Linked DNA regions of Mus musculus. The protein of the gene in region 2 interacts with the protein of the main gene of each other region in a pairwise test. Links are inferred from orthologs where the notes say so. Each region holds a gene or a part of one and is shown on either strand. Other genes may lie near its edges.

Region 1 (7,399 bases), on a different chromosome or scaffold from region 2:
AAGGATGTATTTGTAGGTAACAATTTTAACTTTTCCCAGGGGTCCAGCACCTCACCGGATCCACCTAAGGGCGCTTACTAAAAGGTGGCATCTTATGTTTTGCCAACTTTCTGGTAGACAGCTTTTTAAAAGTTACACTGTTCATTCCCTCCCTCGTCTGCGAGCCATTTTTTATTATTCTTTTACATTAGAAATGACTAAGGTGGTGGCGCACGCCTTTAATCCCAGCACTTGGGAGGCAGAGACAGGCGGATTTCTGAGTTCTAGGCCAGCCTGGTCTACAGAGTGAGTTCCAGGACAGCCAGGGCTACACAGAGAAACCCTGTCTCCGAAAAAAAAAAAAAAAAGAAAGAAAGAAAGAAAAGAAATAAGAAATGACTAAGGTGTCCCAAATATTTTCATTATCGGTCTTGGAGGTGATCCTATCTCTTCTCCGCTGTTTAAAATAGTAGGTTTTCCAGTGGTGAGCCCTCAAGTGCAGTAAGTGAATATGAGTCATAGCACCATGCTGATAAAATTCTGAGAAATGCAGAGACAAAGCAGGTGATACAGAAGTGGCAACAGATGCAGTAAGGGAGTGTGGGATACATGGGCCAGCTCTGAGCCTATCACCATATCCCTACGAGCCCCCAACAACATCCAGATCAGACCCGGCCTCCACACCTACAAGGGCAGCACACCCCTAATCCTTTCTCCAGTCAGGTGTGTTCTCCACAGTCTTTCTTGCACAGTCCTAGTCTCCACTCAGCCTGTCCCTGAAGATGTGGATTCAAATATTCACACCATATTGTTCTTCACATCTTAGACGGATAGTGACCCAGACCACCAACCCCATGGAACAGGCACTTTTTTCAGACCAGCCCAGAATTCCATGCTTTCTCAGCTTGCTAGCAACAACAGGCATGGCAGACCTCCAGAGTATAAGTGTTTGGAACCGGAAGTACCAATACGGCAGATAAACTCAGACCTCTCATGGAGTGTGCTACACACACATTCCAGAAAGACAGTGTTTTGGAAGCAAAACATTTCTTCCTCTTAAGACTTTGTAAACAGCTCTCAAATATGTCCTAGCCTAAAAGACAATTTTCCATGGAAAATTAATGACATGTAATGACTGCAGTAGCTATTTGTGGGTTAAAGTAAGCATGCAGGTCAAACCTGCATGATAACAAACTACAAAGAATGTGGTTTTGTTATGGCTGATTATCCTCAGCCTTTTTTCCTCCTTGTGTGTGATTCAAGTGTGCACTAGAAGGCTCCTGAAGTATTAAGCCAAGCATGCACCCCCTACCCAGAATGGCCAATAGGTTTTTATTATTTCAAATTAGTAAAAATATGTACTATTAATAGCTATTCTTTACTGGTGCAAATGGTTGGCACTTTTTGCTGCTTTCCTCATTTATGAAAGAATTTAAAAATCTAAAGCCAGAGAAGAAATTAATGTTATGTAAAATTACATTATATACATATATATATATTAGAGAATCTTTTGTGTTGAAATATTTTATCAAATGGCCACAATTTATTAATTTACTGTTTATCAACATGATACTCCATAAACAATCTTCCATTGTAGAATTATAGAGCACTATGTGATTGAGCATAAACAAATCATAATTTTCTGATTGATGTGTGGATGTATGAGATTTGATGAGACCCTCACTCTCAGAAACAAAATGCAAGGAGTCATATGTTGGGAAGAATTTGGGTCATTTCAGCAGGGACTAGGTATTAGATAATATGAAAGTTTGTGTAGATTTTTACTAGCAGAACAGCTGTGTGTTTGTGTTTCAAGACAGGGTTTCTTTGCGTAGCCCTGGCTATCTTGGAACTCATGCTGTAGACTACACTAACCTCGAACTCAGAGATCTTCATGCCTCTGCCTCCCAAACTCTGGGGCTAAAGATGTATGCCACCCTAGATAGGTAGATGACAGACAGACAGACAGATAGATATCCCCAACTTCTGGGATGTTCTCTTTTGCAGAGCACACTGAAGTATTCAGGCATGAAGAAACATATCTGAGATTCATATTAAAGTATCCGCCAAAATTTTGGGTTGAGAAATTAAAACATGAAACAAAAATGAAATTAATATTATTAAGAATTAATAAGCATTAAGGCTCCCTTTACTTTCTAGAACTTAAAAGTTCTCATACCAAGTAAGAAGCACCAGAACTAGGATGCTGCGCCAGCTGCGGCTCAGCGGGGGGGATGGGGGGGGCTCCCCCTCCCCTCCAGCCAACGCCAGCCCCTCAGCAGACACCTCTGTTAGCCCTGAGTCTTACAGGACCTGAGACCCTCACAGGCTTTAGTTAGCATCACAGCTAAGGTGGGACAAAGCAGAAGAGTACTGAGGAGGTTGGCAGGGACAGCAGTAGCAGCTGCCTGTCATGCAAGAGCAAGCTCACTACCTCAGGTTTTCCTTTTGTTTGAGGAGAACAGAGAGACCTGGAAGAAGAAATCAGCAATCAGTAGTCCTCCCCTGAGGATCCTCGGAACCTCCCTCTAGGCAAATCAAGCCCCACAAGGGCCTCAGGCAGGAGGCTTGGCAAGCTCTGCTTCACTCAACATTTCCTCCCAACTGTGGAACTGTTTGTTTCAAAGCCTTTCCCATTTGTTCTTGGTGTCACATTCAAAGCACCCACAAACCCATTGAATCAAAGCAAACCCCCATCACAACACAGGTCACTTTGTGTGGAGGCTCTGCCCTGACCTGCAGAGAGGGGTTGCCGCATCAGCTGTTTTTGCCTTCGCAGGTGGAATTTCCCCTCCAGAGTTGGGAATTCTCGTTTTGCCCTGATAAGAGAAACCTGTTCTGAGAAATGGAAACCTATGCCATTGGCAGTCAGCATGAGGTGATCTACGTCATCAGTCACATCTAGGGGTTGGGCTTATGGCTTTTGCCTTTATAAGCCTGCTGCTTTGCAATAAAATTGAACCTTGATCAGAACTTTGTCTTAGCACCATTTTTCTTTCATCCCTGTCCTTTAATTCTCAGAACCCCTTTCGAGGTACCTACATTGACTGGTAGTCGAGGGTCGACTACAACTTTGAACCTCTATCCAAAGTTTGGCAACTGAGTGAACTTCTCAGTATCTTCCAGTAGAAGATATGTTTAAAATGTTTTTGTTTAGAAGAGATTATACTAATGAGCCAGTCAGCTCCTTCATCCTGGCAGCGATGGGTAAGAGGAATGTGCCATCCGATCATTATCCAGATCCCAGTGAAGCAACCCAAAGCCACATCATTCAAAAAGAATATCTGTGCAGTAGACTCAGCACTCAAGAGGCTGAAGCAGCCAAAATAGTGAGACCCTGCCTTGAAGGAGGAGGGGCGGGGAGGGCAGGAGAGCAGACTTCCCATTGAGCCAGACTATATGCAGTACCTAGTGATTTTTCTCCCATTGCATTTTATTTGGACTATAAGGTTCACATGCACTGGGTGCTGGGGACACTCTTTGCTTGCCCTGAACCTTACTTCTACCCCAGATTGAGGTGGGGGACATCCACTCATAGACCATCAGAGCATGAGGCTGCAGGAGACTACCCTGGACTGCTTTGCTCAGGTACTTCCTAGGGAAGCTGGAGAGCAGGTGTGAACAGAAGGATCCCTAGACTTCAGCAGCAGGTTCGCAGGCCTCCAAGCCCTGACTCTGGACTGGCCATGTTCCATATGATGACATCGCAGGATGGGAGTTATGATCATCCTGCCTACCCCTAGCCACCTTTCTCAGACAGCAGCCTCGGCCCCAGTGGATGGAGATGTAGACATTGGTCCCACCCTATCATAGTCCAGCATTCAAGGACTCAGAGGCAAGAACAATGCCACATCAGAGGGATCAGAGTTAAGGCAAAAGCAGAGACTCTTGGAAGACTTCCTTTTTTCACTCACTAGCTGAAGAGTGGGTTGAACAGTCTTCTGTGGGCCCCACCAGCTGCCCTGGGCCTGAGGCTGTGGGTCCCCTGCAGTGAATGTCATCTGGTCACCAGTAAAGGTGCCATGAATGGATAGGGTGAATGGGGCATCCCGGAAATTGGGATGAGTATGTGGGCCTTGTGTCTGTGTCAGGCTGGGAAGTGGAGACCTTTTTGCGGAGAAACAGGGCTCAAGTCCTGACTCTGCCCAGGTATCCAAGCAGGTGTGCTCACTGGGTAGTTGGCTCCGTGGTCTAGCAGTGTTGCTTGATGGGTCTCCTGGTTGGGGTAGGTGGGGAGGTTCCGGCGCTAGTGACAGAGTCACCAGCCCGTTATTCCTCCTGAGGGTGATTGCCCTGGGTGGTCAGTCGGCCTGGGGCGCCCTGAACTCCGGCATGCTCCAGGTGCGCGGCGGGGGTGGCGCATCGCGCTCCACATCCTCCGAGATGGTTCGGATGTCACTGGCAAAGGGTGCGATGCGAGCGCGGGTCTTGAAGGACGACAGGCTGCCGCGGGGCCTCAAGCTCCACTGACGTGTCAGCTTATGGGCCTCCTCCTCCTGCTTCATCTTCTCCAGGGCCTCCTGCAACACGGAGCGGAACAGCCGCGCCACCTCCTGCACCTCGGGCTCTCGTTCAGCCAGCAGCTGCCTGAACCTGGGGGCACATGACCGTGATGGACTGAGCATCTCACAAGCCAGAAACTCCCAACCTTGCTCTTGTCCCAGTCAATCTTGAGCTCAAATCCCAGTTCTGTTCACCTCTGAGCCTCAGTTTTCTCACCTGTAAAAGGGTACACCTGCCTTTTCACATGGTACGTGTGCTCATATGCAAGGAGCCTGAAGCCAGCCCATGGCTGACAGGGACAAAGTTCTGAGGTGTGCACTGTAACTGCAGCCTGGCTGTGGGAGACTGTGTTCACCCCTCTGCCAGTTCCACCTGCCCCTGTGATTACTCTGAGATGCATGTCTGCAATGTCATGGTGTGTCAACATGGAGACCTTCTCCCCCCAGCTCCGTGTCTCTTCAGGGGATGGACAAGCTCTGCATTCCTACTGGCCCTGCTCCTTCTCAGGAAGGCCGCTGGTGGCCTCCTTGCTCCTTGTGTGTCTCTTTAGCTGTTTCCTCTGCCTAGATTTCTCCATAGAGCTGGATTCGTCCATTTGATCCCTTCTTTCCTCTGCCCTCCAGAGAGCCAGCATTTGGCAGAGGCAGACAGGAAATCCAAGAGGAAGTATGGCTCTAACCCTGTGCCCCCTCACTGTGGGTTTAGCCAGCCAGGTCAGGTGCCCCCTGGCATCAGCTTGGCACTCTACCCCTGTCCCATTTTCACTTCTGAAGTAAATGCTTTTAGGAGCCTCCACCATCAATAGAATCAGAAGAATGGGAGAGCTCAGGGGCACCAGCGCGGAGACTACAGAAACCAAAGAGGAAATAGGGGCAAAGTCCTCCTTTCAAGGGAATTTCAGAGAGGAAGCACGGGGTGGGCAAGTGTTGGGGGCTACTGGAGGAGTTGGACTCAAAGTCTTTACTTGTAGATTTGTCCTTTACAAACAGAATGCTGACAAGGAACTCCTGTGCATTTGGGGTCGGTCCTGAATTTGTACTGAGTTCACCAGCTCTATGGGAACAGAGGGAAGGTCCACAGCCTCAGGGAGAGAGGTTTAGGTTCTGTCCTGTGCTACACCAAGCTTTGCACATGTGGTGCCCTGGGCTCTCACACACTCACACACTTGGCTGGGCTTCCCTGTTCCCTCTTCCCCCCACACACTCACACCTCGGGCTGACAGTGTCAAACCTGATCGGAACAGAGTAATTCAGACACCAGTTTTGGAGAGATTGCCTGGGACAGGTCCTAAGGAAGGAACATGGAGGCTGAGGCAGCAGGATTGCTGTGAATTTGAGACTAGCCTAGGCTACATAGTGAGTTCTAGGTTAGCCTGGGCTAAAAGAAGAGGAAGAAGAAGGAAATGAAGCAGGAGAAGTTGGAGACATGGAAGATAGGCGTGTGACAAAGGAACCATTGTTGACATGCATACTTGCAACCACCCAGCAGGAAGAACAAAGAATTTACAAGCTTTGAGTCCAACCCATCCCAGCCTGAGGGCCTCTAGAATCTGCCTCCAGCCCCAGATGAAGCCTCCCCCAAGTCTGATATTCCTCACCCTATTTCTCCCAGAAATAGGAGATTTCTATTCTATTTCTCATGCCATCTGGCTCTGATTCTACTAGCCTTGGGCTCCTGCGACTCCAGTCACCTTCTCTGGAGCTAGTAGGGTCACGGTCCCCATCCCAATGCCAGGGTTACCTGAGGATGGCAGGCCCACAGTAGGATGGGTGGATCTTGGCACATACATCCTCCAACTGCAGCCGCTCACCAGGGCTGATGTCATAGGTGGGCCTGGGCGTGTTTGCCAACCAGCTGTAGTCCACACCAGTGCAGATCTTCCTGACTGCGCTGCGACGCTCCCTCTGTTGTCGCTCCACCTCTCTCATCTGCCCAGCCAGCTCCATCATGAGCGTCTCCAGCACCATCTCGGCCGGGGTCCGGGCCGAGAGCCGGGGAGGGGTGTCGTTCCACCGGAGCCACGGGATGAGGGACATGGCCCCCCAGACTCTTCTGAGACAGAGAAGAAGGGGAATGTGTCCCTTGTCAGCAAGGAAGGAACCCAAGACACCAAGAAAGAGAGAGGCGAGTTGGGCCCCAGCTGAAAGCATCCCACCCATTACAGATGTGAGGCCTCATGTAGGCCACAACCTCTTTGAGCAAAATTCTTAATTATGGAAAACAAAATAGGGCCATTTGAGAAGCAGCTGTGAATAACCTTGGCTCACCATAAGCATTGCATCAAGGTGATGTATGCAGCCATTTTGATAAGAATCCCGAAAGCATCGTGATGGTTGAACCCAGAGAAATTGTTCCCCAAACCTCACTATCCATAAACAAAGCAGGTACATGTACAGATGAGCATAATAATATCCCCATAATCTGTGGGGAAAAGTGCACACAACACAAACACATACAGAGCAAACAACATACAAAACACATACCCATACAACACACATAGCAGGCACAACACACACACATGCACACATTCCCTTAGATACTTATGTCCCATGCCAATCCAACAAGAATACATTGTTTCAAATGCCTCTGGTCTAGGGACGATACACTTAGAAATGTGTGGGTTGACATTGCCCTGATAAAACAACCGACCCACCATCATAATTCATTAATCCAGTAAGTGTTAGCCAAGTTCAGTGGAGGGACACCATGAAAGTATCTGGGGTCCCTGGGGATAACTGGCACAGAGCACACCCGGTATCTATGGGGAGGGGGTGAACATTAGACAATGAAGGGAGTCAGAGGAGGGTTTGTGAATAAGCAGGGTGAGAATGGGGGCAGACGTCACACACGGGGATGGATAGAGATGATGGCCAGGGTAGAAAGACACAGCCTGGGTCTGAGGCATTACACGGGGCTG
Region 2 (7,399 bases):
GCATTGACGTCCACCTGTCCTGTGCTCAGTAGCAGGCTGACCATTTCCAAGTTCCCAATTTTGGCTGCATGATGTAGACAGGTGGAGCCATCCTCTTCCTGAGGGAAACACGAGCCAGTGAACCCTTCAGCTAGCACCCCGTGCCCAGGTATCCCTTCTTCCTCCCACCACCCAGCTCTCCAGCGCCATCCCGCACCTTGCTGTAGACACAGCCACCTAACTGCACCATGTAGCGTGCCACCTCCAGGTGGTTGTTCACCACGGCCTCCATTAGTGGCGTGCGTTGTTGCTTATCTACGGCATTGATGTTGGCTCCTGCCTGTGAGGACAGTGTGAAGGCTGGCACCAGGGAGAGGGGATGCTGGGGAGGGGTTGGACAGTGGGAAGGGTCATGAGGACTGACCTGCAGCAGCACATGACAGATCTCTACCGACCCCTTCTGGGCGGCCGCGTGCAGGGGCGTGCGCTTGCTCTGCTGGTCGCTCTGGAAGTTGGGGTCCAGGTTGTCTACTGCAGGCAGAGATGAGACAAGAGGTAAGAGAGCTGGGGGTGGGACAGCCCTGTACCAAGAGAGACTTCCCAGGATTCCCCACTAGGCAAGCCGTGCCAGCCCCTCAGTACTGCCCCGCACTAGAGGAACACTCAGCCTCCAGGCCGGGAAAGCTTATAAGTTGTGCACTGGATCAGTGCCCATTACCAACAGGTTACCACTGCTGCCGCCACCGAGGGTCCTTCCCTTTCACGCACAGCCCTCGGGGTGGGGTCAGACACTCACACAGCATAAGGATCACCTTCTGCAGCTCCCCCTGCTTCACCGACAGGTACAGCTGCCGTGGGTGGAATCGCAGCTTCTTCCGCCTGTCAGGGGATGGAGGGGGAGAAGGTGGGCTGCTCAGATTTAAGTACCGACAGCAACACCTGCGTTTCTGGCCCAGTCACACCCTGAAAACAGCACAAACTCACCTCTCAGACTCCTGGATGACCAAGGCTTTTTCCAGGGCTTCCCTGCCCGGCCCTGGGGGCAGACCCACAGCGGAGAGGCAGCCCCCATTAGGCAGAGTCAGTGAAGGCCCTGAGCTGTCGATGGTGTCAGCCAGGGGATCACAGGGCGGGCGCCGCGGCTCTCCATGCCCTCGCATTCGGGCGCTGTGGAAAAAGGTTTTGAGGTCTGGGGGCAAGGGAGATAAGATGGATAACCGGGTGGTGGTGGTGGTGGAGAGGCCAATACCTAGGCTGGGAGGTATCCGCTCGCCCTGGGGCATCATGTGCCAGGGGTGGCAGAGCAGGAGCTGCGGTGCCAATTGGGGGTGTTCCCCCATCGCCCCGAGGAATGGTCACCTCCTGGGCCTCTGAGGCATCCTCTCCACAGTGGGGACAGAAGACCATCCCATTGAGCTGGGATACGCAGGCCTTATGGAAGCGGTGAGCTACACGAAAGTCGGGGTGGCATTCCAGGAAGGTGCCCTGGGGAAGGGAAGAGGCAGCAGTCAGCCCCGGAGCTCTCCGGTGCTGGCCAGACCGCCCATCCACCCCAATGGTCACTCACCGCTGTGCAGAAGTAGCCGCAGCCCGGGCAGCAATGGTGCTTGACCATGCGGGCTCGATGGGCCTCACAGAGCACCATCAGCGCCACGCGGCTAGACGGCCGCATGGTCTCCCGCTTAAGGATGGCAGCATTGCAGCCCAGGAGCTAGGGATGAAGGAAGGTGGGGGCATGTGGGTGAGGCCAGGGCCCAGGCTAGCTCACCCTGGGCCCCCTAAGCCAACCGTACCCAGACCCACCTCTCCATCCACACTCTCTGTGGCCATGCACTTGTGCCCTGCTCTCTCGCTGATGCGGTCAATCTTGGGAGCCTCCATGCGGCAGCTGCAGAGGGGCAGCTCCTCAAACCCGCGTTCTGTCTCCAGTGAAGACGTGTCATTGGAGACCCCTTAGACAGGAAGAGACAGAGATGATGGAGGCCTTGCCCCTCACCCACTGGGAGGGTCCCCTCCTTTCCGCCCAGCCACCCCACCATGTTCTAGAACCCCAAAGCCTGGCATGGACACCCCAGCTGTGGCAGGGTTTCCCTCCACCCCCATGGGCACCCCCTGGTGGCTCCCTGTCCCGGCAGTTGGCAATTAATTACCAGCGTGGTTGGGGGAGAGGGTCCCCTCGCTGGGCAGCTCCAGGGACCCCAGAGGAACCTCCATGTACTCACTGGGCCCTGAGGAACCCACACCATTCACTCCTGACACAGAGACAGAGAGAGTGAGAGTGGGGGCTCACAGGTCCTGGGCGCGTGCGCACATGCGGTCTACACAGTGAACATGCACGAGCATCCGAGTGTGTGCTGCTCTCTGGGGCCGGAGGAGGGGACCTGAGAGCAGAGGAGCCGTCTTACCTCTTGGCTCCTTGGCCCTCGGAGGCTCTCGTTTCCGCCGTTTTCTAGATGGCTTCACCCACGGGCTGTCTTTCCGCCATTTCTTCTTGGCCTTGCGCCGGCCACTAGAACCGCTCTGTGGAAGAGGAAGACTCAAGAGCTCTGCTCCCAGCTCCCCCACTCCTCCAGGTAGGCCGGTCTCTGCTCTTACCCTGTCTGACTGATTGCCCGACTCCTCGTCCTCTTCTTCCTCCTCCTCCTCTTCCTCCTCCTCCTCCTCTTCTTCTTCTTCCTCCTCTTCCTCCTCCTCCTCCTCACTCAACTGTTCAGCTAGAGCTTCGACTTCAGACTGAAAAAGAAAAATCAGGCTGGGAAACCAGCAAAGGCAGCTCTCTCGGTGACTGCTGAGGCCCCATATCATCACCCCCCCCCCCCCCAAGGAAAGCTCCCGGTGGGGGATGTGGGCAGGAGGCAGGAAAGGGTGGATAGGGACAGAGGCACAGAATGCCACACAGCAGTGACAAGGGCCGGTCTTAGGAAACACTCTGACAAGACTACCCATGGCAACAAAACCAACCACACTCCACGAAAAGCTAAGGAGGTGCTCTCTAACGAAGGGGTCAGGCTGCCATCACCGGAAACCACAGGCCCAATGTCAAAGTTTTCTTTTTGATTGATTGTTTGGAGACAGGGCCTCACTAGGTAGTCCTGGCCACTACCTGGAACTCACAGAGATCCTACGCCTCTGCCTCTGGAGCATGTCAACACTGACCAGCACAAGAACTGACCAAACACCCTACACAGCTTCCAAAGACAGGCAATAGGAAGGAGGCACCTGCAACCACTGCCACATTTTCTTCCCCCCAAAAAATCAAAAACAAAAAGCAGAAGCAGCAGCAGACATGGCGGCACATGCCTGTAGTCCAAACGTGGAGACAGAAGCAAGAGGATCAGCTCAGGAGCTGGGGCTGGCGAGATGGCTCAGTGGGTAAGAGTACTGACTGCTCTTCTGCAGGTCCTAAGTTCAAATCCCAGCAACCACATGGTGGCTCACAACCATCATGTAATGAGATCTGACACCCTCTTCTGGTGTGTCTGAAGTTAGCTACAGTGTACTTATGTATAATAATAAATAAATCTTTGGGCCAGAATGATCAGTGACTGAGTGAGCGGGGTTGACCGGAGCAAGCAGAGGTCCTAAAATTCAATTCCTAACAACCACATGAAGGCTCACAACCAGCTGTACAGCTACAGTATACTCATATACATAAAATAAATAAATCTTTAAAAAAATAAAGTGAGACTCTGTCTCAAGCCCCATCCCCATTTAGAAAAAGCATGCCTTTAACCCCAGCCACTCGGGAGGCTGAGGCAGACAGACTACAGGAGTGGGTTAAGGCCGGGCCATTCCCAGGCAAGTTGGTAGAGAATGAGGCCTGAAATCAAATATTTAAGTAGCAGCTCAGTGCTTGCTCGCCCTGCGAGGCCTTGAGTTTAATCCCTCAATCAGCAAAAATAAAGCACAGGCCTGTTACAATGCACTTGCAGAGCGCCAGGCTCAACCTCAAACACGGGGGAAAATTCTGAAAGCTCAAACCCACAAACTGTAAGAGATTAAGATCCCCAGAGCTACATCGAAAGAGAACCAAGCCCGAGATGCTGTCCTCTAACCCCAGGATGAGCGCACACACAGTGTGGCAGTATGTGCCTTTCAACCCAACACTAAAGAGGCAAAGGCAGGCAGATTTCTAGGAATTTGAGGCCAGCTTGGTCTACTAGTGAGACCCTGTCAAACAAACAAAACTAGCCAAAAGCCAACGGAGCAAACAACACAAAGGGAGCAAACAAGGCAGGGAGGAGGCTGGGTTGGAATGAGAGGACCAGAGATGAGATAAGGGATATAAGAAACAGTTGCAGACAACACAGGGCGGTGAACTAGAGCTATTAAAGGGAAAGAACAGACTGGGTAGGGAAGCTTGAGAAGAGCACACCAGCACACCTTGCTGTCAGAGTCCACCCGCTCATCCACAGAGTACGCATCATAGTACAGGCTGAAGTCATCGCCCACCACCGTCTCCCACTCCTCCAGGGGCCTGGGCTCTCCCTTCTCCAGGATTATATCTCCTGAGCCCCCGGCAGAGCCCAAGTCCTCGGACTAGAAAAAGATGACAGAGTCTGAGGTTCCTGGCTCCAGCCCACCAATCCGCCCCTCCCCTCCGCTCCCACCCCCACCAGGTAGGTCTTCCTCTCCAGCTCACCAGGCTACCAGAGTTCAGCTTCCTCCTTTTGGCCACATCTGGAAAGACAGAAAAGTGAACTCTCAATCCTGGGATAGACTACGCAGGCCACCTGGAGTGTGTGGGAGGAGCAGAGGTGACTGACCTGAAGTCACCTTCCCCAGATGCATGTCATCACTCATGCGGAAATGCTGGACTTCAGGGGGCCGCTTCTCAGGGATTGGAGGCTGAAGCAGGAAGGAACACGTTTCAGTCAGAAGGTTACTCACCCAGGCTAGGTGTGGTGGGCTACACCTTTCATTCCAGCACTCCGGGAGGCAGGCGGATCCGAGACCCAGGCCAGCTAGGGCTATAGAGTGAGTGAGACCCTATCTCAAAAACAAACAGAACACCCAAGGACAAAAAGGGAGCCTGGAAATATACAACATAGAGGAAACTTGAAGGCACTGTGCTAAGTGAAATAAGTGAGCCACCAAATTAAAGTTATGGGTCTGTTCCCTCAGCCTGGGGCCCAGGTGGGAGTATTGTGGCTGGCTGTACCTCAAAAATGCTATCTGGGGGACTGGCAAGATGGCTTAGTGGTTAAGAGCACTGACTGCCCTTCTGAAGGTCCTGAGTTCAAATCCCAGCAACCACATGGTGGCTCATGACCATGTGTAATGGGATCTGATGCCTTCTTCTGGTTCGTCTGAAGACAGCTACAGTGTACTTACATATAAAAGTAAGTAAAGCTTTGGGCCAGAGCTAGTGGGGCTGACTGAAGTGAGTAGGGTTGACCAGAGGGAGCAGAGGTCCTAAGAGTTCGATTCCCAACAACCACATGAAGGCTCACAACCATCTGTACAGTGTATTCACATACATTAAAAAACAAACAAACAAAAAAAAAACAAACAAACAAAGCTATCCGAAGGGCTGGAGGGATGGCTCAGGGTTAAGAGCACTGACTGCTCTTCCAGAGGTCCTGAGTTCAAATCCCAGCAACTACATGGTGGCTCACGACCATGTGTAATGAGATCTGATGCCCTCTTCTGGTGTGTCTGAAGACAGCGACAGGGAACTCCCATAAATCTTAAAAAAAAAAAAAAAAAGAAATGAGTTTTTAAAAAAATGCTACCCGAAAGCCGGGCGTGGTGGTGCACGCCTTTAATCCCAGCACTTGGGAGGCAGAGATAGGCGGATTTCTGAGTTCGAGGCCAGCCTGGTCTACAGAGTGAGTTCCAGGACAGCCAGGACTATACAGAGAAACCCTGTCTCGAAAAACCAAAAAAAAAAAAAAAAAAAAAATTAAAAAGAGAACAGTGGCCAGCAAGATGGCTCAGTGGGCAGGGGTGCTTGCTGCGCAAACCCTAAAACTTGAGTCTGACTCCTAGATGGCATGAAAAGGTGGAAGAGACCAGGCTCCACAGATATGTCCTCTACTGCGTCCATCCCCTCAACCTCCCCCATTACACATACACACTTATAATCAATATTTTTCTTTCAAGACAGGATTTCCCTGTGTAGCCTTGGCTGCCCTGGAACTCACTATATAGACTTGGCTGTCTAAGGAATTGTGTATACTCTAACTAGGCTGGCCTTGAACTCAGAGATCTGCCTGCCTCAGTCTCCCAAGAACTGGGATTAGAGGCGTGAGCCAGCACCACCCAGCAACAGATAAAATTTTAAAAGTTGTGCCCATATAGGAGTCTTTAAACTACTAATACAGGCATTAGCTAATCATCTATAAGGTATCTACAAGGAAGACAGATACGTGTAAGGCATATGCAAATGTTGATTCTTAGCTGACCCAGACCTTAAGAGATCCACCTGGCTCTCATAATTTTATATGAGGAGCCCGAGCAAACACGAACTTCTGTACCAGAGAAGAACAGCCACACCATGGTGAGGTAATCACTTTCCCAGAAAAAGAAAACAAGCATTGTCGGAGAGGTAGTGCAGTGGTTAAGAGCCGGTTGCTGCTCTTGTGGAAGACCCAGGTCCAATTGCCCAGCACTGACAAGATGCTCACAACCCCTTCAAACTCAAGGTCTACTGCCCCCTTGACTTGAAGGGCACCAGACACACAAGGTGGTACACAGACATATGTGCAGGTAAAACACCCAGAAGCTTAAAAGTTTTTAAAAAAAGAAAGAGTAAAGAAAAAAAAAAAGAAAGAAAAAAATTAAATGTAGAAGCTGGGTGGGGTGGATCATAGCAAGTTCAGTCTACATGAGACCATCTCAAAAAGAGGAAATAAAACAAGGGCCAGAGATATGGCTCAGCAGTTAAGAGCACTGACTGCTCTTCCAGAGGTCTTGAGTTCAAATCCCAGCAACCACATGGTGTGGCTCACAACCATCTGTAATGGGATCTGATTCCCTCTTCTGGTGTGTCTGAAGACAGTTACAGTATATTCATATACATAAAATAAATAAATAAATCTTTTTTAAAAAAAAGATTATAAATAAAAGGCATGTGTGTACACCTTCAGCCCCAGGATGTAGGAGACAGAAAAAGGTAGATCTCTGTGAGTTAAAGGCCAGCCTGGTCTACACAGCCAGCCAGCCAGGGCTACACAGTGAGACCCTGTTACACACACACACACACACAAAACAACAAAAAACAAAAACTACTCTCTCAAAACAAAATAAAGCTCAAAACAAACAACAAAATAAACGAAACAAGACCCAGAGGAAGGCTACACAAGCCATACTTAAGCTGAATCAAGAGCCCTTAAAACCTTGACATAATTTTGATTTCCAGGTTCTTGTCACACACACACACACACACACACACACACACGCCTCCGCCCACATTCTG
Region 3 (7,399 bases), on a different chromosome or scaffold from region 2:
CTCTGGAGATACCTGAGTGGGAGTTTCTAAAATGGGTTAGAGGAGGGCAGGGAGAGCCACCCTGAATCAGGGTGAGCCAACCCACCGGCTGGCATCTAGGACTGAATAAAAAGGACAAAGTGAGCTGGGCACCAGGACTCTCTCTGCTTCCTGATTGTGGACACGCTCCTGCTGTTGCTGTGCCTTCCCTGTGAGGGACCGTCCCCTTGGACTTAGACCCTCCCTCTTTTCCTTCCACTATCTTGTCAGGGAGTGTGTGGCAGGAACAGGGACGTCACCAGTGGAGTCCTGGGGAGCAGGAGGAAGGAGGAGAGCAGCTGTGCTAGTTGGGATTTTGTCAACTTGACACAAGCTGGGATTGTCAGGACCTCGGGAACCTCAACTGAGGAAACACCTCTGTCAGATTGGCCTGTGGGTGAGCCTGTGGGGGGCAGTTCTTGACAGATGAATGATGTGGGAGGGCGCAGTCCACGGTGGGTGGGGCCATCCCTGGGCTGGTGGTCCTGGAGTGTCTAAGAAAATAGCTAAGCAAGCCATGAGGAGCAAGGCAGCAAGCAGCATCATGGCTTCTGCATCAGCTCCTGCCTCCAGGTTCCTGCCCTGCTTCAGTTCCTGCCCTGGCTTCCCTCCACGATGGACTGTGACGGAGACGCTTAAGCGGTGTAACTTTCCTCCTTAAGTTTCTTCCGTGCGGTGTTTTGTTACAGCAGCGGAAAGCTAATTAATATGGTGGCTGAGCCAAGACACGACAGGAAACCACTGAGAAACTCAAGAAGGCCCAGCCGGAGGCTAGGGGGTAACAGAGACAAGACCGTAAAATGAAGGGTGTGGAGGAGCCCCCCGGGCCCCAAGACAGAAAGGACCCTACATTCACCTCATAATCTACACCCTTGTGGTTGAGGGCGACATTGAGAGTGAAGGTGGACGAGTCATGGTGTGGCCGAAGCGAGGGCTGCTCATCTGGCCGGTAGCGGACCACGAAGTTCATCACTGCCCGTGTCTGTGGGGACACAAGGTGGAAGTCATGGGAAGGGCAGGGCACGCCAAGGCTAGCCCTTTACTTGTTTTGTACATGAGGTGGAAGACATGGGAACAAGCACTTTATAGACCAAGCCATCTCCCCAGTCCCGTTCCTCCCCATTTTTTGAGACAAGGTATTTTTTGTAGCCCAGGCTGGCCTCAAACTATGTAGCTCGAGACGACCCTGAATTTCTGATCCCCCTGCTCTACCGTCTGAGTGCTGGGATCACAGGCTGTGCTCCTACCCCCAGGCTATGCAGTGCTGGGGATGGAAGCCAGGGCTTTGTGCGTGCTGGGTGAGCGCACTGGCTGACCCACATCTCCAGCCTCTCTCTCCTGTTTTGAGACAGGCGCTCACTGCACAGCCCATGCTCTCCTCAAACTCGACCTTCCTGCCTCAGTTTCCCAAATGCTGAGGTTACAGGTGTCAACACGCCCTGCCAGTGACTCTCCTAATAGCACAGTGGCCCGAGTAGGAGGCTTAACTTCCTTCCGAGTCCATCTTTATCCTGGGCCCCAAGTCCGTGGCGCCTCAGTTGCTAAAGGGCTGAGGGCGGGGTCCACATAGAGCCTTCCGAGACTGGGGTACAAGAAGAGGTACAGCAGCGGTTGGGATGGCCCACCTTGGTGTGGTAGCCAGGGAACAGGTACTCCGTCATGGGCCCCACATATGTCCGCAGCAGCTGAAGCCACTGGTCCTCGTATCCCACCTGTTTCATGTGGATATCAACGGTGGGAACATTCTCGTATCCTCCAGCCAACCTGGAATCCTGTGAGCAACAGACACTCAGCCACCCACATCCCTGGGCTAGCCCATTCTCCTTCAGGGACAATACCAGCTTCTTCTTGTTGGTTCCCAGGTTTTTTGTTTTGGTTCCCTGGAACTTGATCTACAGATCAGGCTGGGCTTGAACTTAGAGATTCACCTGCCTCTGTCGAGAGTGCTGGGATTAAAGGTGTGCAGATGACTGCCCAGCCGGAGTCTCTTTCTGTCTGTGACATCTAGAAGCAGTTTTCTCTTCTATTGTCAAGGCAGACTCACTGCTGCCGGGCCCTTTAGTCTCTGCTGTCCTTAGCTCTGCTGTGAATCCACGCCACCTTCCCATGCTATCTAACATCCGTAGCCCCAAGCAACCTCTGTGTTATAGCTAACCTTGACTGTCAACTTGATGGGACCTAGGTTCACCTAGAAGACAAGCCTCTGGGCATGCTGGGGAGGGACTGTCTAGCTTAGGTTAACGGAGATGGGAAGACCTGACCACTGTGGGTGACACCATCCCCTGGGCTAAGGTCCTGGCCTGAAAGTGAGCTGAGCAACAGAACTCATCTCTCTGCTTTCCGACTACAGTGCAATATGACCACGTGACCAGCTCTCTCACGCTCCTGCTGCCATGCCTTCCTGCCATGATGGGCTTGTGCCCGCAGACTGTGAGCCACAAGAAACCCTTTCTTCAAGTTGCTTTGGACATATACTTTCTCCTGGCCACAAGTAACTAGCATACTCTTTATGAGCCCCGCCCTTGGGGATCCCCTCTATCCCCCAAGTCCCCTGTCCCTCTTCAGGCCCACCCTGTCCCCTTGGGAGCCCTCTGTCCTCACCTCGTGCCGGCCTCCAGACCACTGGCCATAGTGTTCCATTTCCTCCACCAGCTCATCACACATCTGCTCGGTCAGCAGTGGGAACCAGTACACATCTGGGCATGGCTAGGGACAGAGCAGGGCAGCAAGGGACAAGGCAAGGTGAAGCTCACAGAAGAGAGGTGGGACAGGCAACAAGGACAGGGGAGGGGAGACACACAGGAGAGGATCTATGGAGGGCTGACCCAAGCTCTCTAGGTGGAGAGAGGAAGGGTGTTTTAGCAGAGGAGGGCAGGAATAGGGGGCCTGGAGCCCCAACATCTAGAACAATGATCTTGTCCTGTCTTTTTTCCTCCTTTTTGAGACAGGGTCTTTTGTAGCCCAGGCTGTCCTCAAACTCACTAGGTAGCTGAGGCTGGCACTGATCGTCCTACTTGCACTTCCTGAATGCCGAGATCACAGGCGTGCAACTTCATGCTCGGGTTATACTGTGCTGGGAACTGAACCTAGGGCTCTGTGAATACTGGGGGAGCTCTCTACTGCACGAGCCCCAGCTCCAGCCCATCTACTTACTTATTTTTAGACAAGGTCTTACTATGTAATCCAGGATGGCCTTTTTTTTTTTTTAAGAGTTATTTATTTTATGTATGTGAATACACTGTAGCTATCTTCAGACACTCCAGAAGAGGGAGTCAGATCTCATTACAGATGGTTGTGAGCCACCATCTGGTTGCTGGGATTTGAACTCAGGACCTTCGCAAGAGCAGTCGGTGCTCTTAACTGCTGAGCCATCTCTCCAGTCCCCAGGCTGGCCTTGAACTGGCTACGTGTCTGATGCTGCCCTGCAACTCCAAATCCCTGTTATCTTCCTCGACCTGGGCTCTGGCATTATTGGCATGTACCACACCTCTGTTTGTTTTTATGTGCGTGTGCGCACGGCTGTGTGGGGGTGTGCATGTGCGGGTGGGCACGGCTATGTTGGGGGTGTGCGTGTGCACATTTGTGCATTCGAAGGTCTGAGGTTGACACCAGGAACTGCTCCATTGTTCTTTCACCTTATCCACCGAGCATGATCTCCTAATTGAACCCAGAGCTTACGGATGCAGCCAGTCTTGCGAATCAACCTGCTGCGGGTCCTCAGTCTGGAACTGCAGGTGGGCTCTGGAGACCTGTACTAGGTCGCCATGCTTATGTCCTAAGCACTTGACCACTGAGTTCTCTCTCAGCCCATCTTTTTTCTTCTTTTGAGACTTGGTCTTGCCATCTGACCATGGCTGGTCTGGTACCTATTATGTAGCCCAGGTTAGCCTGAAACTCTCCATCCTTCTGCACCACCTTCCAGACCTCTAAGATTACAGGCCCTTAACACTTAGTGTGGCCGTTAGCCTTCCTCTCGCCCGAATAGGAAACCCTCAGTCCCCGGGTGCTCAGCTTAGAACCCACCAATGCCAGCAGTGGGTACTTCACACGGGCCAAGGTCCTGGGGCAGCTTACCTGTTCCACTAGCCCTTCCCCATCCAGGGCCCGGCTGTAATTCTCGTGAATGTACTGTTCTCTCCAGTCCTGTAGGAAGGGTTAGGGCGCTCGAGCGGAGCCTTCTTCACGCCTGCCCTCCCATGATCAGCAATGGTGGTGGGGGCTATGGGCTGGAAGCAGGGAGCAAAGGTCCCCTCTTACCACAGGGTTGTCAAAGATCTGCCAGAGGTCTGGGTGTAGGTGGTCTGTGTCATAGCGAGAAGTAGCCAGCAGCCGGCCAAACTCGTGCTGGTTGCTGAGGTGGAGGAAGATGCCCTGGAGCGGGGTAAAGGGTGGGCATGCGTGAGGAGGACATCAGGAGGCTGTGGGCACAGCGTCGAGTCCCCATGGGCAACCCATGCCAACCACCCCACTCACCTTGTCCCGGACGCTCTTGCAGAAAGCCATATCTGGGTCTGTGTCGCTGCTGGAGAATACCTCCTTTTGGGGCAGTTCAGTCCTCAGGGTCTCCCCGCGGATCACATATGCCTGAGATATGTAGGGTACATTCCACACGCCCCTGCAGGCACCGGGTATGATCAGCTAGGTGGGCAACCCCACAGACTACGCTTTGCTCACTGCAGAAGCTCCTCCTCGGTGTCCCCCAGAATCCCAAGCCTGAGGCCATCATATCACCCTTTCCATAGCGGGGGCCTAGTGTGTATGTAGGAGGCTGCGGAGGGGGACCGAGGGAAGGGCCTGCCTGGCACTGCACGGTACGTGGGTGGGACTCACACTCGCTTCCGCTGCACCAGTTCCACGTAGTCTTCGGAGCGGGCGTAGTACTCATTGGGGCTCAGGGCACCCCAGAAGTTGGACCAGAGCTTGCCATGGCGGGAAAGCATGGGAGCTATTACCTTCCTATGGAGAAGACGTAGGTGAGGGATGGACGAGATGGGATAGGACTATGTCCCACCAGGGGAGGGGGTGAAGCTCTTCTGGGGCTCCATGCATGGGTGGTGCTGGTCACCTGTTTTGTTCAATCAAGACACGCAAGGTCTCCGGGTTCGTAAGGACGGCATCAGCATCCAGGCTAAAGTAGAACTCACACTCAGGGTTCTGCCGACAGCTGTCCCTGGAGGAGAAGAGCCACAGATAGAGAGGTGAGCCCAAATGGGGGCATGGAGGCAGGGCAGTGGGGATGGAGGGATGAGCGGGGCTCTCCTGGTTCTGACATGAGGTCAAGGGTCAGTGTCTCCTTCCCCAGGGGCTCCACTGTCTGTGTCAGAGGATGAGGGAGGGGAGCGTAGTGTGACCACAGCCCAGGCAGACTCACTCACATGGCCATGTCCCTGGCCTCCCCTGCGCTCAGGGCCTCCTCTGGCCCCACCAGCTTTACAGCTGAAAAATGGTCCTGGAGCTGTGGCCAGGCATCTGCAATATGAGGCTCGTGGTACACCTCCTGAAGATGGGCGGAGAGAGGGATACACTGACGGTCTGGGCAGAGAGGTGGGTACATGGGGGATGCAGTCAGGGAGGACAGACGGAAGGAGGTGTCGGTGCGGTGGGATGGGGGATAAGGGGTATGCTCTCCATATCTCACGCTGTTGTGAAGGAAGAGAGAGATCCTGTCCGGGGGGTAATCCAGGAGCAGTAGGCGCTGCAGGAACCGAGGCAGGAAGGGAGTAGGCTGCTCCACAAACACGGCCAGAAGCACCCGGGGGGGAGGCTGGGGGACACCACAGGACAAGGCTCACACAAGCCCAGACCTCTCTCTGCCCACAGCAGTCACCCACTGCCCACTCGGCCAGGTCCAGGTGCACAGGAGCTCAGCCCCAGGCCGCCCAGCTGGCCCTCTGCTGACATCCGTGCTGTCCTCACCTGCCCCCCCGGGAGTGTCCTCAGGGTCTGGTTGCAGAATCCACAGCCTCCCTGGGGAGTCCAGCCATTGGGGACATAGTTCCCCAGGTAGTTGAGCTGGAGCTGTTGGGACAGGGTTGAGTGGCTAAAGTGGAGGTGTCTGGGGACAGATGGCAAGGACATTGGGCTCAGGAAAAAGTCAGCAGGGTGAGGCAGCCATCCTGGCACCCTTTTCTGCTGGAAATGGAGAAAACCAGGGGGAGGGGGTCCAGGAGGGTTGGGGTAGCAGGGGGGGGGCGTGGAGGGCTGAGGGCATGGGGGCACCTTAGTGGGACCATTTCCATGGACCACAACAGGAAGTGTGTCGTAGGCCACATTCCGGATGCGCACACGATTCTGGTCAAACTTTAAGATCACTTCATCTGGGGGCAAAAAGGGGAAGGTTTTCAAGAGCTCCTTCATTTTGGAACCACGAGGCAACAGGCTCTTTAAGGTGTGAAGCGATAGGATCCCAACTCCTCTGGTGCACAAAGGTCTTTGCAAGTGCTCGGTAGATCGAGCTCCAAACACCAGTTTTTCCTTTTGTTTTTGTGTGGTGCTAAGAATTGAACCTAGGGGTTTCTGTATGCTAGACACACTCTCTACCACAGAGTTACACCCCCAGCCTTTCATTGGGGGATTCTAGGCAGGTGCTCTACCACTGAGCCACACATCCATCGCTAACACACATGCTCAGGAGTTGGTTAAGTTAGCATACTGGTGAGTTGTAGATCAACCCAGTTCTGGCAGGAACCCATCCCTCATTACCCACCTCTAACCACCGTCCTCACCTAAGGCTCCATTGAGGTTCTGAAAGATCCGGGATTTATGGTCCAGACTCAGTTTGAGTTTCTCCTAGATGGCATAAGATGGAGCAGTGAACGGAGGGGGGACAGGTGACACTATATCTCTCTTTCTCCAACTCCCTTTATGCCTCCCCTCCTATTCAACTGGAGAGGGGGTTCCTGTCCCTGAGTCTCCCTACCCGCAGCCCTGGGTCCAGGTACAGTTGAGTGTAGAACAATTGATCATCATCGTCGTCTTTGTAGTTCCACTGGCGGACAATCTGATGGATGGTGGGAGCAAAGCCGATGAATCCTGGGGGGGTGGCAAGCAGAAGTGAGTTAGACCTCCCGAGACTGCCAGGGTCCCCGACTCAAGCACCCAGAGCATGCAATGCCCGCTCCACTGGGGGAGGGAGAGATAGAGAGGGGACAAGTCTGTCTTGGGAACTCGGCCACTCACCACCAGAGTTGAGGAAGCGCTTCCCCATGCCCACCTCAGGGTACTGCTCTGCCAGCCCCCACTCAGGCCAGCAGAAGCTCTCAGCAGAGAACAGCAGATGACTGCCACTCTGAACAAACTTCTTCAGCAGCTCTGTCGGGCTGCTTGCCAGAATCACGTCGTAGCTGGGCAAGAAAAGGGGAAGACGAGAGCCAGGAGGAAC

The links.
Region 1: the proteins of Ehmt2 (region 2) and Rd3 interact in binary tests that used the Homo sapiens proteins (3 or more experiments, as listed by UniProt). The two-hybrid records come from large-scale screens. The link is inferred for Mus musculus from reciprocal best matches to the Homo sapiens genes EHMT2 and RD3.
Region 3: the proteins of Ehmt2 (region 2) and Plod3 interact in binary tests that used the Homo sapiens proteins (3 or more experiments, as listed by UniProt). The two-hybrid records come from large-scale screens. The link is inferred for Mus musculus from reciprocal best matches to the Homo sapiens genes EHMT2 and PLOD3.

Annotation. Positions count from the first base shown.
Region 1 is NC_000067.6:191,982,385-191,989,783, reverse strand, and holds the end of Rd3 (protein RD3), read right to left. Parts: intron 6,535-7,399; 5' UTR 6,519-6,534; coding exon 6,223-6,518; intron 4,573-6,222; coding exon 4,281-4,572; 3' UTR 1,502-4,280; downstream 1-1,501.
Region 2 is NC_000083.6:34,900,442-34,907,840, reverse strand, and holds part of Ehmt2 (histone-lysine N-methyltransferase EHMT2), read right to left. Parts: intron 4,828-7,399; coding exon 4,746-4,827; intron 4,660-4,745; coding exon 4,622-4,659; intron 4,519-4,621; coding exon 4,363-4,518; intron 2,713-4,362; coding exon 2,575-2,712; intron 2,500-2,574; coding exon 2,385-2,499; intron 2,232-2,384; coding exon 2,130-2,231; intron 1,932-2,129; coding exon 1,783-1,931; intron 1,691-1,782; coding exon 1,547-1,690; intron 1,465-1,546; coding exon 1,229-1,464; intron 1,147-1,228; coding exon 964-1,146; intron 889-963; coding exon of another isoform or gene 859-888; coding exon 776-858; intron 511-775; coding exon 404-510; intron 320-403; coding exon 197-319; intron 99-196; coding exon 1-98. UniProt on the Homo sapiens protein: Histone methyltransferase that specifically mono- and dimethylates 'Lys-9' of histone H3 (H3K9me1 and H3K9me2, respectively) in euchromatin.
Region 3 is NC_000071.6:136,988,534-136,995,932, reverse strand, and holds part of Plod3 (multifunctional procollagen lysine hydroxylase and glycosyltransferase LH3 precursor), read right to left. Parts: intron 7,362-7,399; coding exon 7,198-7,361; intron 7,051-7,197; coding exon 6,938-7,050; intron 6,808-6,937; coding exon 6,744-6,807; intron 6,336-6,743; coding exon 6,238-6,335; intron 6,037-6,237; coding exon 5,935-6,036; intron 5,783-5,934; coding exon 5,657-5,782; intron 5,516-5,656; coding exon 5,394-5,515; intron 5,189-5,393; coding exon 5,084-5,188; intron 4,975-5,083; coding exon 4,849-4,974; intron 4,634-4,848; coding exon 4,492-4,633; exon of another isoform or gene 4,392-4,491; intron 4,390-4,391; coding exon 4,276-4,389; intron 4,162-4,275; coding exon 4,093-4,161; intron 2,725-4,092; coding exon 2,620-2,724; intron 1,791-2,619; coding exon 1,644-1,790; intron 1,001-1,643; coding exon 875-1,000; intron 1-874. UniProt on the Homo sapiens protein: Multifunctional enzyme that catalyzes a series of essential post-translational modifications on Lys residues in procollagen. Plays a redundant role in catalyzing the formation of hydroxylysine residues in -Xaa-Lys-Gly- sequences in collagens.